Linked DNA regions of Oryzias latipes. The protein of the gene in region 1 interacts with the protein of each later gene in a biochemical or structural test. Links are inferred from orthologs where the notes say so. Each region holds a gene or a part of one and is shown on either strand. Other genes may lie near its edges. The genes, in order: heat shock protein HSP 90-alpha, activator of 90 kDa heat shock protein ATPase homolog 1 and usp19.

Region 1 (2,267 bases):
GGTGTGGTGGACTCTGAAGATCTGCCCCTGAACATCTCCAGAGAGATGCTGCAGCAGAGCAAAATCCTGAAGGTCATCCGTAAGAACCTGGTTAAGAAATGTCTGGAGCTCTTCACAGAGCTGTCTGAGGACAAGGACAACTACAAGAAGTTATATGAACAGTTCTCCAAGAACATCAAGGTAGCTTTGTGACGCCACAAACCTTTCTGAAAGGTGTATTCCAGTTCATTTCCACTAACATACTATGTCCCCCTTTAGCTTGGAATTCACGAAGACTCTCAGAACAGGAAGAAGCTGTCTGAGCTGCTAAGATACTACACCTCAGCCTCTGGAGATGAGATGGTTTCCCTCAAAGACTATGTCACCCGCATGAAGGACAACCAGAAACACATCTACTATATCACTGGTGAGGCCTTGCTCCACCTGCATCTGAGCTGATTCTTCACCTGAGTGTTAGCAGATGATTGACGTCATGTTTTGCGGTTCAGGCGAGACCAAGGACCAGGTGGCCAACTCTGCTTTTGTGGAACGCCTTCGCAAAGCCGGTCTTGAGGTCATCTACATGATCGAGCCCATCGACGAGTACTGTGTCCAGCAGCTGAAGGACTTTGATGGCAAGAACCTGGTTTCAGTCACCAAGGAAGGTCTGGAGCTGCCTGAGGATGAGGAGGAGAAGAAGAAGCAAGAAGAAAAGAAAGCTCAGTTTGAGAACCTTTGCAAGATCATGAAGGACATCCTGGAAAAGAAGGTTGAGAAGGTAAGCAGAAGAACGCTTCTTTGGATGGCGGGGGGGTCTCCTGGTAGGATGCAGTCCTAATGCTTTAGTCCTTCCACAGGTCACAGTGTCCAACCGCCTGGTCTCCTCCCCATGCTGCATCGTCACCAGCACCTACGGCTGGACGGCTAACATGGAGAGGATCATGAAGGCCCAGGCGCTGCGCGACAACTCGACTATGGGATACATGGCTGCTAAGAAGCACCTGGAGATCAACCCCGACCATCCCATCATGGAGACTCTAAGGCAGAAGGCTGAGGCCGACAAGAATGACAAATCGGTGAAGGATCTGGTTATCCTGCTGTTTGAGACCGCCCTGCTGTCTTCAGGATTCACCCTGGAGGACCCTCAAACACATGCTAACCGCATCTACAGGATGATCAAACTGGGTCTTGGTAAGGAGTCCATCAAAAAGTTCAATATTTGAGTTTGTGTTTTATATCCTGATAGATTTTTAACTAATATTTTTCATTTTTACTGCAGGCATTGATGAGGACGACACACCGGTAGAAGAAACCACTTCTGCTCCCACTGAGGACATGCCGCCTCTGGAAGGCGACGACGACGCGTCCAGAATGGAGGAGGTGGACTGATCGGTCGGCTGCAGTGTTGAGATAGTTCCATGTACAGTTCAAATGTTAAAACGAGTTGTCATCATTTCTTTCCTTATTCCTCACGTGTTTGCATTTGCTCATTCAGAGCTGTTCTGAAACTCTTTATTCTTCAGATGTAACAATGTAATTGTTTTTGTATTTATTGACATTCTAATGTTGCTCTAATTTGTAAATATTACTGGAGGTTGGAATACCAGAGCACAGAAATAAAACTCTAAAGCAAAAACGTTTTGTTCTGGGGTTCTTTTCAAATACAAGAGATTTTTGGAAGGGAGACGTATTGATGCTTTTATTGTGAAGGGGAAATTGGGAAAGGAAGTAATTGGAAGGTTGAATGAATGCTGCCAATAATTAGATAAAGATCTAACAAAAATAAGAAACTTGAAGTGACTGGTTATCAGTTTTCTAAGTTATGAGACTTCAAACAAACCTATTTTTATTGGATCTTTAATTGTAATTACAATTGCATGACATGCAAACACTGGAAGTGTTAAGAGAAACACTTGAAATGCTGCAAAAGTCCAAAGTCCTCACAACATAAATAGTACAATATTGCCATCTAATTATCACTAATTTTGTTTGTCCTAACCTTTTGATATAAGGGTAACAGCAAATCTATAAACAGAGCTATCAGGTTTTTTTTAAGAAAACAAGGACCGAATCATGTTTTAGGCGTTTCCTGCTGGTCTTCCAGAAATCCTGCCTGATCTTCACCTGGAACAGGTGGATCAGCTCCAATAAGAAGCTTCAATGGTTGCAAAACATGTAGGACACTGGCCCTCAAGGCCTGGATTTGGGCACCCCTGAAACTTTTTTTTAACAATTGTTTTTATTTCGTTTACAAATGTATCCAACATCGACGTACAAGAAATGAAAAA
Region 2 (4,392 bases), on another chromosome or scaffold:
CTAAAAAACAAGCAGTTTGTTTTGTTTATCAGTTACTTAGAATACATTTGTTTTTTTTACAATTGCCATAAATCTCCCAATTGTTTTCTTTATGACCGATGATGACGCTTCCCCTCCAAAACAATGGATTAATTTTAACTTTAAACAATAACAAAGTCAAAGAAATCTCATTCAAACACAGATTTTACCCTTCAAATCATTACCGATCTAAATTTAAAGTTGACTTAAACACCAGAAGGAACCGGAAACATGCTCTCATTTATTCTGGTCTGGATATTCACTCACAAATTATGGAAAAACATCCACAAATTCATCACAGACTCTATTTTTGCTTATTTTCAACTTTATTACAAAAACGTAATATTTGGTTTTCATAGTTTTGGACAGGAAGATGGTGATGCTTTCTATTTTAGAAACATGTTGTTATTCATGGCTAAATTATATCCTCAAGTCTTCGTACTGAAACTGGAACTGCAGCAATATTTAAAACTAATTTCTGCTTCAAAAAATAAAAAGGCTCAAAAAACGATTATCATCTGTAAATCTTTTGGATTAGTGACATGTTTATTACTCTTGCATTTCTATTTTTTTTCTTCTGTTATTAATTTTTTTTAGTTACTTATTTATTTCCTTCTGTGATTGCTTTATTTGGTTATTATTGAACACCGGTTTGTTTTAGAAATATATAATACTTATTTTGATTTGATTTGAAATGGTTTATTTCGAGCAATCAAATAAGAATACACAAAAACATTACAATCATCAGTTATACATTCATACAACAACGAATCAATCTTAGGATAATTAGACATATTAATAAATATTGCTTCAAAGGGAGTGGAAGGAGGCAAACTTATATAATTCCAGCCCTGTTCTACTGTAACCATTTTATTACATGATTTATAATTATTCGGTTCATAACTTTATCAGACAGAATTAAGAAGCATTAAGTGTCAATAAAGCACATGACAAAGATGAATTACTTAACTATTATGTAAAAAATAACTTTTAGAAATCAACATGGCAAATGCAGATCAGTTTTTCAAAATATATGCAGATTATCTTAATTATAAAAGTCATCGATATTTAAAAAAAAAATAACACTATTTCAGTAAAATAGACATAACACTGTTTCAGAAATTTTCTTAGCAAAATTTGATCACGTATCAAAAGTAAAAAATATGTGCAAAATTATGTTACATTAGGAAAAATCAAGTATCAATTTATCAATTTTTTGGAGCAAGTGAAGTAATATCATTAAAAGTCAATCAATGTAACCATTTTCAATAATTGATTAATCATTTGTGTTATTATTTTTTTTGTTTTTTTTTATTTACATAAAAAATATTTATAATTTTGTTCTTAATAGTTGAGATTTTCATACGGTCAAAACAATGTTATTCTGTATTCAGAACTCTGTTGTATTTCTTTATTGTATTGTTATAAATGTTGTTTTTTATTTATTATATCTGCAAATGTTTAATATATGTTTTTTTAATTCAACTTTTACCAAAATGTTCAAAAGTTTCTCTTGCGGAACCTCCTTTTATTGACGTCACTTCCGGCGCGAGGGAACTGTTTTCCTTCTTCTACAAAGTTCCGCTTCCAGCATTTTCTGCGCCCGGCGCATAAACGCGGCGGCACCACTGGAGGTTTCTAGAAGCAGCCGCGGCGTGTGGCGGATCCTCACCGGCAGAAGGAGCTGACATTCCCCAACGGTTAGGTTGCTGTAAACCCGGACAAATGGCGAAGTGGGGAGAAGGAGACCCTCGCTGGATCGTAGAGGAGAGAGCTGACGCCACGAATGTCAACAATTGGCACTGGTAAGGCAGGGCGGATGAAAAAGACCCCGCTGCCCGGCTGTAGCCGGCTAACACACTGCAGACCCCTCCGCCGTGAAAAGCCGGACTTTGACTCTTATTACCACGATCGATCAGCCATGTTTTTCATCAAACATCCTCCATTTTTCTGTCATGTATGTTTTAACAGGATGTTTATTCAAGCTGAAATGGGGTTTAGCATGATGATGTAGCAGCAGCGGACCCTCATGTCTCAGTTGCTACACCGCGTTAGCTAGCTGCTGCATGCTGATGAATGCTGCACGCTCTGTGATGACATCACTTCAGAATATGACAGAAAATTACTTTCTATATTTATATATTTAAGGTTTTTACGACTTTTTAGTGGAACCTTTTCATTAATAGTTCCATGGCAGGTTCAGATGCCCAATCAGGCCTTTAAACCCTCCAACCAATGAGCAACAACGCTAGTAGGAAAAGGCTGTTTTCTCATGTTTCTGAATCAGGCGTGTTGCACCTGCGCCTGATTCAGGCGCAGGTGCAACACGCCTGCCTGCTGCAGCCCTGATGCCAAAACCAAAAAAAAAACGGCACCGTTCGCTGCGTCTTGGCTGTTCCTTTCATCACCGTCTTCCCACGACTCGCAGGACGGAGCGAGACGCCACAAACTGGTCGACGGACAAGCTGAAGGCGCTGCTGCTCGGGCTGAGCGTGGAAAACGAGGAGGGGACGTGCGAGGTGACAGAAGTCAGCAAACTGGAAGGGGAAGCCTCCATCAACAACCGCAAAGGCAAACTCATCTTCTTCTACGAGTGGAACGTGAAGGCAGCTTGGACCGGTGAGTTCAAAGTTCAACAAGTTCCTTTGAGCAGAGTCGCTCGTTGGTTTTGTCTTCTCGTTTTCTTTTACAGCCCAGAATATTTCGGCTCATTTGATTAAAAAAAAAAACTAGGGAGGAGTTTATTTGACGTTTGTCTTCTTGTCCCCCGTAGGAAAGTCTAAAACAGGAGTCAAATACAAAGGAACCATCGAGGTTCCCAACCTGTCGGATGAGAACGACATGGAGGATCTGGCCGTAAGTCTCCGTCTGACCGGGAACTTTGTGCTTGGGGTTGATGGAGATGTTCTCTGAAGTCCGTCGTCTCTGGTTTGGGTCCAGATTTCTGTGATGATGAACAAAGACGAACCGGACACGCCGCTGCTGAGCCTGATGAAGACGAAAGGCGCCGAGAAAGTCCGCCAAGCGCTCGGAAGCTACGTAGACTTCTTAAAAACAGGTCAGGAGCTTCATAATCTCAGAGAGCTGTGTCTTTAAAAGACTGTTTTAAAAATACTTTAAAGTTTTATTTAAAGAATTCAAAGTTCCTATCTATGAAAAAATGCCTCTAAAATAACGTTTCAGAGCAGAGAGAAGTTGTTGCCCCTTTGGGTTAGCGGAGCCCGGTCTGACTTCAGCGTCACGCAGGTGTTGGCGCTTCGTTCTAAGGCGTTTCTGCATTTCAGAGTTCACACAGGGGATGATCCTGCCGACCGCCAACGGCGTGGCCAAGGTGCCGTCTGCTTCACAATCCAAAGCCAAGCTGGATAAAACCCAGGTTTGTTCTGCGCCGCCGCTTCAGAAGTGAGGCCTGCGTGGAGAACCGTCTTTGAAATGTCGCTCTGCTCGTGGCACAGATTTGCTCCGGCGGCAGCAGCAGCAGCGCAGCCGCTCCGGCCAACGCCGGCGTGAAGATCCCCACCTGTAAATTCAGCATCAGAGACACGTTTCTCACCTCGCCGGCGGATCTGTACAGAGTCTTCGTCAACCAGGAGGTGAGCCGCCGGCGCTCCGGAGCCGGTTCCCGCCGGGCTCGGACCGCCGTCTGACTGTCGCTGTTCTGCCGCAGATGGTTCGGGCCTTCACGCACAGCGCCGCGGCCGTGGAGGCGGAGAGGGGGGGCAGGTTTCGCCTGCTGGACGGCAACGTTTGTGGAGAGTTCACAGAGCTGGTGAGACCGCCGCTCGCCGTGAAAGCGTACGCCTGCTGCCTTCCTGCGTGGAAACGCTCAATGTAACGCTGCTTTCACCCTCAGGTTCCCGATGAGAAGATCGTCATGAAGTGGAGGTATAACACCTGGCCCTGCGGTGAGTGTCCCCACTGCACCAACGTCCACCAGCAGTGAGATGAGACCCGCAGAGTCTGTCCTATAGAACGGATAAACAGGGATTCAAACCGCTGACATTCATCTTTCAGTTGATGGACGCTCGCAGGGGAGCTGCGGGGTCCAGCAGGAGCGTTCTAGGAGAACATTCCTGCGCGCTCTCGTGATCTTAGCGTGTCAGTAGATCAAAGCTGACACGCTATGTGTTTTCCACGTATGACATGTGGGTCTTCCGTGATCCATGCGTGGTCTACGTCGTTCATCAGTGTGTCTTGTGTTCGTCATTCATCGATGTCCGTCGAGGGTTTTGATCGACGGGTCTTTACTTGAACACGGTTTGAGCTGTTCAACACTTTTGGTCGGTTGACAATTACACCAGTGTCGTTCCGGTGGACCATCGTCCATCGTGATGGCTGACTGTCATTACAACGGAGAGACACCATCGTGATGAC
Region 3 (3,654 bases), on another chromosome or scaffold:
CATTAACCACCATCAGATCGGTGCCCTTCTCGTACGAGCCGTTCTTCACAGACTGCAGGTTGACCATCGGCTCTGGAGCTGCACAGACGAACACATCGGGAAACTCACATTTAGCGCTGAACGAAAACCAACAGATCAAAAGCTTCCTGAGCCCTGATTGTTAAGATCTCAGTTACTAAAAACCAGGTAAAAACATTTCTATCAACTGTTTTCTCAAAAACAGCTCAGAGGATGAACTTGGATGAATGATGCTCTACATTTTGCAGGAAACCAAAAATCCCGGCTAACCTTCCAGCGGACTGATTTCCAGAGGAGGCTCTTCCTTTGGCCGATCCCGTTTCTCTTCTCCATCACAGCTGTTCTGGATCAGACCGGCTGCGTGGCTCTGGACCGCCTCTGTCGAGACCAGCTGCTGCTGGATCACAGGACCCGGCTCTGGGCTAAGCTCGGCGGGTTTCGCCGCCACCTCGGAGTTCGTGCACTCCCTCTGCTTTCCAGAGGCGGAGTCTGCTTCTTTGTTGAAGCAGACGGGTTTGAGGCAGGGGCTGGTGCTCTCAGGAGCTCTGGGCTGTTCGTCTTTAACTTGTGCTTTTACTCCGGATCGGTTTAATGACTGGTTTCTCTTTTGGAAGAGAAAAAGAACAAGACCGAAGTGAAAGTTAACCAAAAGATTCTGCGTTGATCTCTAAAGACGACCGACTGATGTTTAAGGCGGTTTAGACGTTCAGCTTTTTAACGACCTGACTGGGATTTGAGCCTTTCCTGAATTAAGAAAGTGTAAACTTTCCCTGCTGTCTTAGTTGTCTTTTGTTCTGCCATTTGTTCATGTATCACAAATCATAACTTTATCGCAATATTGTGAATTGTCCTCCCAGCCCATGCTTTTTTTTTAAACATTTTTATGCATTTTTGGGGGTTAAATCTATACTTGTTTGATTGTGTTATAAAACATAAAACCAATTTGTTCTCAATGTTTGTGATTTTTGCAGTTAGAAAAAAGACTAAATTAATTACACCGAATTGTGTTTTTCATATAGTTTCAGATTTATTGTTAAGCTACTGTGTAATAGAATGAAAAATATCACTAAAAAAAAGTAGCAGGGGTTATCCTAAAAAGAATATCAATGACATAAAACTGCTTTAAAAGCCAATTGTTAAGTTATAAAAACACTAAAAAGGCCCCGGACTTCAAAGAGTTAATATTTAAGTTTAACGCCCAGGTTTTTTTAAACTCAAAGTACCATTTTTAAGACGGTTTTTGAGCAAGTCTCACCTGGGCTCTGTTTGCAGAAGAGACTTCAGGTCCGACTTCCTGACCGGTGAGTCGCTCCTCTGCTCTGCTGTTTGTGTCTTTGCCTGGAGTCTGGGGGCTCCGCCCGTTTGTGGCTTTACCGCCGTTCACTGCTGCAGACTTTGCAGCGAGTTTCTCCTTTTCTGCCCCTTTGGTGGTCTTGGGCAGCCGTATGATGGGCCGCTTGGTGCTGGGTTCCTGGGGATGCGGCTCGCCCGCTAATACAGCAGCGGCTGGCCTGGTGGTCGTTTCTGAAGCTCCACTTTTTACCCCAGCGAGGTCTGCGGGGGCCTTGTCACAGGCTTTGTTTTTCAAGCAACGCTTCATACCCCGCTCGGCTTTACTTCGCCTTGACTCGCCGTGTGAAGGTGATGAGGGAGGGTGAGGCTGGAGGGACGACGGTCGGACTTTTTCTGATGAAGCCGCAGCCTGCTTCACCTTCTTGTTTGACTAGAACAGAGAAGAAATAAGTAAAAGGTATCAATGCAGCAACACCAGCAGCAGGACACAACGGAAATAACAATTTTAATCAGCAAAAAGTAAAAAACCTGTAGAACATTAACCAAATATATTTTGAAATTTTCCATGAAATCTCGTCAAAAATGCATAAAAAAATACACAAACCCCTGCACAAACTTTGTATTTTAATATTTTTAACAAGACTTTTATGCAACAGAATGTCATTCAGTCTCACATATAGAGCAGCGCAGTCCTAGTTGATTCATGTAAACTTTAGGGACAGTTTAAAACAGCAGAGATAACAGTTTAACTAATGTCAACCAGGAAAGTTTGGAGACATTTAGACTCAACCATCAGTTCATCTTAGTGAAATCCTGAAGCTGCTTTCACCAAATGCCATCTGCGCTGCAGGAGCGTCCAGTTTCAATTCGGGCTGGGAATCACGATGCGATACACGATACATTGCTCACGATAACGATACTATCACGATATGGCGATAATGTGAATCGATATATATCGTCTCTAACAACTCACAATATATCAAACTTTAAGAAAGAAGAACTTAAAAATTTGCTTTTGGGAAAATATTTCCCCATTTATTTTTTCGTTTTTAAACACAATGATAATAAACAACTTGTGTCATATTTGGTGTAATGAATAACAGACTTTTGTGTAACATTGCTGAAATCAGTAATACTGTCTTTGCAAAACAATGACATTTTCATTTGGAAATATCTGTAAAATTCAGTTTAAACAATAGTGAACATGAACAGCAGCCATTATTTAGTACTAAATTGCTGTAAACAGGATAAAATAGAATAAGTCAAGTAGCTGCTAGGCACATTGGTGTTAACCTTGAAAAAACAAAGCCATAGTTTTCGCATTATTTAAAAAAAAAATAGCTGTAAATCAGATATTAATTCTGTGAACAAATTATAGTGTCTTTGTTAAAAATAAATGACACAATTTGTTGCAAATGTGGTGTAAACAAAAATAAAAATCTCCCAGAAAACAAAAATCAAGTAGCTAGGAACTTTCCTTTAAGTTATTTAAGACATAAACTGCTCTCAAAATAAATGACCAGGGATAAAATACATGAACTAAAAGTGCATCTAAAAGCAAACATCTTTGTGAGCAAAACGTTTGGGGAAAAGCTGCATGTGATTTATGTGTATATGTTCATGTTTTTCTTGAGAACCACAGGCTTTTTAGCGTCAAGACGCTGCTCGTCTGTCTTTTGAGGAGGGGGGGGGTCTAAGGGCAGGGATGCCACTCTTTCTGCTGTACCATAGCTCTGGTCAGGGCGTAAAGTGCAGGAATCATTTTGGGCTCGCAGTGCGAAGCTTCCGACACATAGTGCACACCGTAGCAAAGCATCCTCCCTTCCCCACAAAAACAAATCTATAAGTCTGGCTACTCTGCTCAGGGACAAGGTTCGCTCGGTCCACCGGCAGCCGAGCCCGGACCGTGCAGTGTCCGGACATCGGGGGGCACGAAGTGCTCCTCCTCGGCGCCCCCCAAGAAGGAGAGCCCTCTCCCTTCCCTCCTTCTCGAGAGGGTGGAAAGGGAGAGGCAAGGAGCCCGCAGGGCGAGGACGGAGCGCAGAGGCGCCCGTGCGTCGTACTTGGCGCTCCAAAAACTACACATTAGGTGCACCGCCTCATAGGTCGCCCCCTACAGTTTGGAGAAAGTTTTAGACTTGCAAGAGCGCCTTTTAAGTCGTGAAAATACGGCAATCAACGGAGGCGCACTGCAAACGGACCTTTAGAGTCATCCCGGTGCAGCTAGAGAGCGCTGAGCGTTTTAGGTAAGTAGGGAACGGGCTCACCTTCAGAGAAGGCCAGATGTGAAAGGGGATCTTCTTGTGCATGATGAGGTGCAGGAAACCCCCCTTCTCCTTGTAC

Evidence for each region.
Region 2: the proteins of heat shock protein HSP 90-alpha (region 1) and activator of 90 kDa heat shock protein ATPase homolog 1 form a complex in vitro, tested with the Homo sapiens proteins (4 studies listed by BioGRID). The link is inferred for Oryzias latipes from reciprocal best matches to the Homo sapiens genes HSP90AA1 and AHSA1.
Region 3: the proteins of heat shock protein HSP 90-alpha (region 1) and usp19 form a complex in vitro, tested with the Homo sapiens proteins (3 studies listed by BioGRID). The link is inferred for Oryzias latipes from reciprocal best matches to the Homo sapiens genes HSP90AA1 and USP19.

Annotation. Positions count from the first base shown.
Region 1 is NC_019882.2:17,298,758-17,301,024, forward strand, and holds the end of heat shock protein HSP 90-alpha, read left to right. Parts: coding exon 1-180; intron 181-258; coding exon 259-406; intron 407-488; coding exon 489-757; intron 758-836; coding exon 837-1,170; intron 1,171-1,258; coding exon 1,259-1,368; 3' UTR 1,369-1,615; downstream 1,616-2,267. UniProt on the Homo sapiens protein: Molecular chaperone that promotes the maturation, structural maintenance and proper regulation of specific target proteins involved for instance in cell cycle control and signal transduction.
Region 2 is NC_019880.2:21,589,111-21,593,502, forward strand, and holds the start of activator of 90 kDa heat shock protein ATPase homolog 1, read left to right. Parts: upstream 1-1,461; 5' UTR 1,462-1,743; coding exon 1,744-1,823; intron 1,824-2,446; coding exon 2,447-2,637; intron 2,638-2,791; coding exon 2,792-2,874; intron 2,875-2,958; coding exon 2,959-3,076; intron 3,077-3,302; coding exon 3,303-3,394; intron 3,395-3,473; coding exon 3,474-3,611; intron 3,612-3,685; coding exon 3,686-3,787; intron 3,788-3,871; coding exon 3,872-3,923; intron 3,924-4,392. UniProt on the Homo sapiens protein: Acts as a co-chaperone of HSP90AA1. Activates the ATPase activity of HSP90AA1 leading to increase in its chaperone activity.
Region 3 is NC_019865.2:4,259,652-4,263,305, forward strand, and holds part of usp19 (ubiquitin carboxyl-terminal hydrolase 19), read right to left. Parts: coding exon 3,579-3,654; intron 1,742-3,578; coding exon 1,274-1,741; intron 623-1,273; coding exon 289-622; intron 79-288; coding exon 1-78. UniProt on the Homo sapiens protein: Deubiquitinating enzyme that regulates the degradation of various proteins by removing ubiquitin moieties, thereby preventing their proteasomal degradation. Stabilizes RNF123, which promotes CDKN1B degradation and contributes to cell proliferation.